Linked DNA regions of Mus musculus. The protein of the gene in region 1 interacts with the protein of each later gene in a pairwise test. Links are inferred from orthologs where the notes say so. Each region holds a gene or a part of one and is shown on either strand. Other genes may lie near its edges.

Region 1 (4,446 bases):
AATATAAATACTTAATGGGAACTTAAAAAATACCCAAGAGAGTTCCCTAACATCCTTTAGTTAGCGCAGCCTAGTTAGGGGATGCTCTGTGTGCTGACAGGAAACCAAAATGGAAATACTGACCCGGAACCTGGGAGGCCGAACACAAAACTCAAGTCTGTAACCTGTCCTTTAGATCAGTTTTTCTTTTCTTCTCGAATGTTTATTTTTATATGTGTGTCGGCGTGAACCCATGACACTCATGCGCAGGTCCCCAGGCTGAACTAGATCAGCCTCTCAGGCTGCTGTGCTTGCCGACTGGACGAAACTGCATTTACAGGACGCCACGCAAACTGTTAAATAGACACCTGACACACAAGCAAGGCCTTCGGTGTCGGACGAATCAGGAGTCCGTTCACCAAGGACCTCTCCCTCCAAAGCCTGCCCATCTACTTGACCACGCACAACACGAACTTCTGCAGACAGCTGCGGCGGTCGGTTCCTCTGTGCATCTATGAGAGCGCGTTCGGTTGCTCAGCAGATATTCTGGAACGAGGAAACGGGAAAAAATGTGATCACTGTCCTAAGAGACGTCGTCGCTACTCTTCTGGACAACTGAGCGCGGGCTAAACCACTCACAACATCTGTAGGGAGTTTTCAGGTCCCCGTAGGACGTGCCAGGCCAGGGTGCAGGTGCTGGCTGCGTCCCCTCAGCTTGTGCTGGGGCACGGTCTATCTCAGGACAGGGGGCGGGGCGCGGGGACACGGTCCATCTCCGAGCACGAAGCCAGGCGCTGGGCCCTCAACAAGAGGCCTGGAAGGACCAGAACGGCGGACAGGCTAAGGTCTGAGGTCTGGGCTGCGTCTCGCAGGCACTGTGGAGTCGTGACAGCCTGTGTTCACACCTGAATTTGGTGAGCAGAGGCGACTCACAGTGAGGAAGTCGCCCTGAGATGAGCTGACTCCGCTTTCTTTAGGGCGGGGCCGCGCAGAAAGGAGGAGCGCGCGGTGAGGGAGGGGTCGCGCAGGGAGGGCGGGGCCGCGCAGAAAGGAGGAGCCCGCGGTGAAGGCGGAGCGTTCAGGGAGGCGGGGCTAGCGGTGCGGTGAGGGCGGGGCCGCGCGGGAAGGAGTGGCTCGTGATAAGGGCGGGGCGCACGGTGAGAGCAAGGACCGCGGTGAGGGCGGGGCCGCGCAGAGAGAGCAAGGAACGCGGGGAGAGCGAGGAGGGCGGGGCCTCGCAGGGAGGGCGGGGCAATTAGTGAGGGCAAAGCGCGCGGTGAGGGCGAAGCCGCGCAGGGAGGGGCGGGGCCGAGCCCAGAGGAGGCGCGCGCCGTGAGGGCAGAGCGCGCGGGGAGGGCGGGGCTTCCGAGCAGAGCAGGGCCGCGAGCGCCCTCCTTGCCGCGACTGGCCGGCCTGCGAGGGGGCGGGGTTTCCGGCGGCGGCGCACTCGGGCATCTCCTGACGCAGAGTGGACGAACGTCACGTGACACGGAAGTGACTCCGAACAGGAAGAGGACGAGAAAAATAACCGTCCGCGACGCCGAGTGGGAGCGGACTCAGAGCCACCATGAACAGCAAAGGCAAGGCCGGGAAGTGGCGGGGGCCGTCGGGGAAGCGGGCGGGTTCGGGTCGAGCGGGCTGGGGGACGTCGGGCCTGGGGCGGTCTGTGCGGCTCTCTTCAGCGGGCCGCACAGCGCGGCCGCACCTGACGTGGCCGCCCCCCTCCACCCCCACAACGCAGCCGCTCGGCCCTCTGGGCCCCGACCCCATAAACCGTGTGGCGCAGTTTGGAGCCGCGGGCTCCTGTGTGTGGGGTGGGGGGGCTTTTCCGTGACGGACAGCGGCTGGAGCGAATGGCGAGCTAGAGCAGGGATTTGGGGAAGCCAATGGAGGGCGGGCGGAGGCGGGGCGCCGCGCCTCGGAACAACAGGCCTCGGCCGAGCTTAACTGCTGAGGTGCCGGCTCCGCTGCACGGCCCAGGCCCTCGAGGACCCGTTCTCGCCCGCCGGGGACTTCTGGCGCTTCCTCCTCGGGGCCCGGACTCGTAGCCGCCCCTGTGCGTTGCTAATGTTTGTGAGAACATGGTCGCGTTCCCCACCCCTCCACCCGCCGCCCTTCTCACGGTTAACTTCCAGTCACTCACTCTTTGGAGGTCGACCTTGACTAGGAACCCGTGAGGTAAACACTGAGAACCGTGGGTCCCACAGAGTCAGGACTGGTTACAGCACAGCCCGGGGGAGATCACCCAGAGGAGTCCCCTAAGACACCAGCAGTCCGGAGACCCCGGAACGGGTCCTCAGACCTGCCCTCTATTCGAAAGGGAACATGGCCAAGTTAGCCTCCATCAATCAGTATGCTAGTGGGAACGGCGCCTTCTGCCCAGTCAGAAGCCAGCACCTTCGGGCGCGAGGGTGCCGAGACCATCCTTATTTTCCTGGCTCTAAGAAATAAGGCAGCCTTATTTGCAGCTCTTCTGCTTGCTCCCCACCCTGTGCACCCTGGCCCGTCTAGTAGCTCTGCTTACAAACTTGTTTTTATTCAAAGTGTGCCTGCCTCTGCCTGTGTAAGTGTCTGTGAGTGTGAGTGTAGGTGCCCACCAAGGCAGAAGGTAGCGTTGAAAGGAGGTTGTGTCATATGTGGGTGCTGGGAATAGAACTGGGGTCCTCAGGAAGAGCAGCACTTTGTCTCACACACTGAGCATCTTTCCTGTTTGCCACCTCCCCTCCTAATCTGACAGACAACATCTCTCCTCCCCTTTTGTATTCCAGGTCAATATCCAACACAGCCTACCTACCCTGTGCAACCTCCTGGGAATCCAGTATATCCTCAGACCTTACATCTTCCTCAGGCTCCACCCTATACTGATGCTCCACCTGCATATTCAGAGGTACTGCAGTTTCCTAGACTTGTAGCTAGTTGAGAACACTCTTGGATCCCCTTGTTAAGTCTTCAAATCTGACTTCACAAGCAGAAGGATGCTCTGTGAATCATCTAGAACTTAAGGTGAAAATTACCATTGGAATTGAATGCAGTATCTGATTATGCTATTTGACACATGCTGACTTAAGCTGAGTTTGGGTCCCTTGAGCACAATAGTAGCTGTGGACGCAAATGACTCAGAATACTGTGTGCCAGTGACTATAACCAGTGTGTAATCTGCAAACACAAGAACTAGGAACAAGGGGCTAGAGAGATGGCTCAATGGTTAAGAGCACTGCTTTTCCAGAGGTCCTGAGTTCAAATCCCAGCAACCACATGGTGGCTCACAACCACTGGTAATGAGATCTGACACCCTCTTCTGGTGTGCCTGAAGACAGCTACAGTGTACTTACATATAATAAATAAATCTTAAAAAAAAAAAAAAAAAAAAAAACAACTAAGAATGGACTCATGAGCCATGCGTGGTGGTACAGGCGAGTAGTCTCAGCATTGAGAGGCTGAGTCAGGAGGAAGCTGAGTTCAAGGCTGCCAGTATAACCAAACCCCATTTCCAAAACCAAACAAGGGGCTGGGGATGTACCTGATTTGGTAGAATGCTTGCTTAGCATGCACCAAGCCCTAGATTTGGTCCCTAGCACAATGTGAACTGGGTTTGGTGGCACAGGCTTCTAATTCCATAGTCAAGAGGTAAAGCAGGAGAGTCAGGAGTTCAAGGTCATCCACTCCTACATACTTGAAGGCTAGCCTGAGCTACAGGAGATGGTCTCAATAATACTTAAAGAGATTCCAAATAGGAATGTCACAAAAATAATGTTTTGCTTTCTCTTCTGCTTCTTTCAGCTCTATCGTCCAAGCTTTGTTCATCCAGGGGCTGCCACAGTCCCCACCATGTCAGCTGCATTTCCTGGCGCCTCATTGTATCTGCCTATGGCCCAGTCTGTGGCTGTTGGGCCTCTAGGCTCCACAATCCCCATGGCTTATTATCCAGTTGGTCCCATCTATCCACCTGGCTCAGCAGTGTTGGTGGAAGGAGGGTATGATGCAGGTGCCAGATTTGGAGCTGGTGCCACTGCTGGCAACATTCCTGTGAGTATGCCTAACTGGGAGCTCAGCCCTTGTATACTTGAACAGTCTGAAATGACTTCATATTCATTCTCCAACCATAGTGGTCAGGGCTGGCACAGCTGCTGCCCTCTCAGAGCAGAAATGTGGCCGGGCCAATCAGGGCATTGGACACAGCCCTTGGTTTTAGAGTTAATCAGGTTGATTTGTTTTCTTGTCTTATTAAATTAGTGGCATCTTCCTTTGATCCTAGCACTTAGGGGCAGAGACAGGGGGATCTCCGAGTTTGAGGCCAGTCTGGTCTACAGAGCGAGTTCCAGGACAGCCAGGGCAACATAGAGAAACCCTGTCTATAAATTTAAAAAGACTGCTAGCTCCTTTTTCAGTTGTTCAGGCACAGTGAACTGGTCCAGGGGTGCTGCTTGGTGAGTTCATAAGCATTTAATATTTGCCATGAGTGGGGAA
Region 2 (3,500 bases), on another chromosome or scaffold:
TCATTCCACTTGGAAGCACATGGGCCTCTGATTGGCTTCTAGATCCTTGCTCTTCCCTCAGCAGCTAGTCTGCTTCCATTTAATGCACATACTAGAGTCATTCCAGAAACTATTTCTAAGAGTAAGCACTTAAGTCAAATGTAGCCAACTTTTGGGAGGTAGAAATTCGGATTTTAAGATAAGGCTGTCTGTACCTCTGTCCTCTCTACTTTATAGATGAGAGCCGAGGCAGAGAAGTTCCTTGTCTCTAGTCCTTTAGTCAGGCCTGCCATTCTGCTGGTGCTGGCTCTCTGGAGTCATGTGTGTGTGTATGTGTGTGGGGGTGGGGTGGGGGGCCGTGTTTTAGCCTGGACTGGCCATGTGTGGCCAGTGGCTGCTCTGTGAGAGTCCTGTATCTTCTAGGACACAGCGTATTCTCAACAGTCAACAGCTTGACAGTCACTAGGACATGCATGGAGGGCGAGGCTGGAGGAGTGCTGATTGTTCACAGGGAGAGATGTTTGGAATAAAGAACTAATAACTCTTTGAGTTGAAGGAGGTGATAAGTCAGGATGAAAGATAAAAGTTGTAACAGTTGTTTGAATAGACAAAAGGAAGAAAGGTACAACAAAGACTCCTTCATTCCAGGTGATCATGGAGAGGCCAGGTAGCACTCTTGAGGTCCACTTGCTGGGCATCAGCAGGGAATTCTGGCCATGCGGGAGAAGGGGACTGGTAGGGACAGGAACTAATGTAGGGGTTGTGCTTGGGAGGGAAAGGTTTCTGGCTCATATCTTGGCTAAGAATTCAGGGCAGCGATGGTAATTTTTTTTTTCCCTTTCACTTTCAAATTCTAAGCTTGGTGCTCTGTGGTAATAGGGGATGGGGGACCTTCTTGACATTGACGTTTCTAAACAGTTCTATTCTGGGTCTTTCCTGGTTCTGAAGGTGGGTCCTTACCTCTCTGATCTGCCCTGGCGAAAGCGTGCTCAGCATGTAGAGTCAAGTTTCTGAGAGTCACTGCATCACACACACACACATACACACACACACACATCTGCTCAGCATGTAGAGTCAAGTTTCTGAGAGTCACTGCATCACACACACACACACACACACACACACACACACACACACACACACACCATCTGCCAACCCCAGACCCCACTGTGCTCATGTTCTCTCCACTGAACTGACTTTGTTGCCTCATGCCCTTCCAGGGGTCAGAAATCCTTGCCACCCAATTGATTAGGGATGCCCTTTGAACATGGTGTGAAGGTCCCGTGTAAAGAAAGCCTTGTACTGGGGCTGGGAGCTGGCAAGTGTCTGTCCTCCTCAGTACTTTTCTTTGTCTCTACCTAACTCCTCTGAGGTCAAGAGGCCTGCTTGACCCTTGGTCTCTGGGAGTCCACATTTTCTCATGCAAGGCCCTTGATGATTCAGAAGGGCTGAGTTCACACTGTGCTAGCAGGAAGGGCCCTACTGGAAGATTATCTTCTAAATGAATGTGTTCTTGGAATAAGCCTTTGACTTTCTGTGGGTTCAAGCCTTGGCCACTGAAGGACTGGTCTTTATCTTTCCTTAAGGAAATTGGGTTTTGTGTGTTTATCTTTATTGTCTCTTAGTACTTAAATTCTTTTCCAGACCAGGGAAGAGTTTCACTGGGTCTGTTTATCAAGAGGCCATAGGATACCTGGCTTCTGGCAGCATCCTGCAAGCCAGTCCATTTCTTTAGGCCTTGGATCTTGAAAAAGGAAACAGAACCTGCAGGGGCTGTTTCCTGTGCTCCTCAGGGGAAGGTTACTTTGATACTGCACACCAACAAACACTGACATGACACAGTGAGTCCAAAACCAACAACACAACAGTGTTTACCTTGAGCTCTGGCAGGAAATCATTATTCAGTCTGGTTTGTTTTATCAGGCAATTCCAGGGCCACACAGACGGAGCCAGCTGTATTGACATTTCTAATGATGGCACCAAGCTCTGGACAGGCGGTTTAGACAACACTGTGAGGTCCTGGGACCTGAGAGAAGGGAGGCAGCTGCAGCAGCATGACTTCACTTCACAGGTGAGTGCTTGGCTCTGGCCTGCTGTGGAGTCAGAAGGGGTCTGTGGATCGGTCTCCCACCTCAGCATCATGCAGGGTACCATGATAAGCAAATGTGTTTAAAACCATAGACATACAACACACACACACACACACACACACACACACAAACACACACACGCACACACACAGGGGATGGTTACAAAGAATCCTGTGAGTCAAACCATGTTGAGATGCTTTATGTACACGTGGTTTTGGTGAAAGGAATTTATACAGTAGAGAATATACAGGTTTTCTTCAGCAGGATGCAGTGTTGTGTATATTATCACCATCAAATGCAGAAGGAGAGTGAAATGAATGTTAATTTGTTTCAAGGAGTCTAAGAACATGTGGATACCCATCTCCTTTCTTAACCTTAAAAAACAACCATGTTGAAGTCCCAACACTGAGGGGGCAAGTGGACTCCTAACCAAGAAGCTATTTGCAGTTGATACCCACTGGTAATGGAAAATCAGTTTTCTCCAGTGGAGGGTCATTAGGTACCTCTACTACCCTCTGGGCAGGCCCCATACCTCAGAATAATTGACCAACATAAACTCCATGGGGCATTGGGAGATAGGGGGCTTTTTTATGTTCTTTTGTTTGCTTTGGGGTTTTTGTTTTGTTTTTGTTTTTGGTTTGTTTTGATTTGTTTTTTTTTTTTTTTTGACTTACTGATGTTTTTCTTGTTTGTATGTTTGTGATAGAAGGGCAGGAGAGAGAATATAAAGGTGGTTGGGTAAGAAGGTGGGGGAGGGGACATGATTAAGATATATAATCATGATCAACTAGATCTATAGAAGGCTTTTGAGGCTTGACTCTAACGCAAGGCAGTCCTACTACTTCAGCCTCCACAATACTAGGATTAAAGGTGTACACCACTATGACTGAGTAGAGTTTTAAAATAATATAAAACCATACAACTTTTGGAGAATGTAGACTTATTTGGCAGAAGCAGTTCTCGCCCTTTACTGGTGTCTTCCTCTCAGTAAAGTTGTCCTTCTGTGTATTACTCACCCCCCGCCCCCACTTGCTCATGATATGGTTTTTTCTTTAAAGGTAATAAAAACTTAAAAATCGGGTAAAAATGGAAAATAACTACATATATTGTTTTAATTTCCTTCTGTTCCTCTGATAAGATATGACAGAAAGCAACTTAGAAGAAAAATAGTTTATTTAGTTAGCTATTCCAGATCACAATCCATTGTTGTCAGAAAATCACATTGCCTCCATAGTCAAGGGGCAAAGAGGAAGGAAGTACTCACACATGCTGGTACAATATCTGTGTTCTTTTCATTCATTCCAAGGCTTAGCCTGTGAAGGGGTAACACAAACGTGGTGGGTCTTCCCATTTCAAATAACCCAACTAAGAAAACATTTCACAGGCTTGCCTACAGGCTGACCAATCCAGGTAACTCTTCATTGAAATTCT

What was found. The genes of interacting proteins can lie anywhere in the genome.
Region 2: the proteins of Dazap2 (region 1) and Tle1 interact in binary tests that used the Homo sapiens proteins (3 or more experiments, as listed by UniProt). The link is inferred for Mus musculus from reciprocal best matches to the Homo sapiens genes DAZAP2 and TLE1.

Annotation. Positions count from the first base shown.
Region 1 is NC_000081.6:100,614,166-100,618,611, forward strand, and holds the start of Dazap2 (DAZ-associated protein 2), read left to right. Parts: upstream 1-1,496; 5' UTR 1,497-1,546; coding exon 1,547-1,559; intron 1,560-1,884; exon of another isoform or gene 1,885-2,157; intron 2,158-2,747; coding exon 2,748-2,866; intron 2,867-3,759; coding exon 3,760-4,005; intron 4,006-4,446. UniProt on the Homo sapiens protein: In unstressed cells, promotes SIAH1-mediated polyubiquitination and degradation of the serine/threonine-protein kinase HIPK2, probably by acting as a loading factor that potentiates complex formation between HIPK2 and ubiquitin ligase SIAH1.
Region 2 is NC_000070.6:72,120,894-72,124,393, reverse strand, and holds part of Tle1 (transducin-like enhancer protein 1), read left to right. Parts: intron 1-1,902; coding exon 1,903-2,050; intron 2,051-3,500. UniProt on the Homo sapiens protein: Transcriptional corepressor that binds to a number of transcription factors. Inhibits NF-kappa-B-regulated gene expression. Inhibits the transcriptional activation mediated by FOXA2, and by CTNNB1 and TCF family members in Wnt signaling.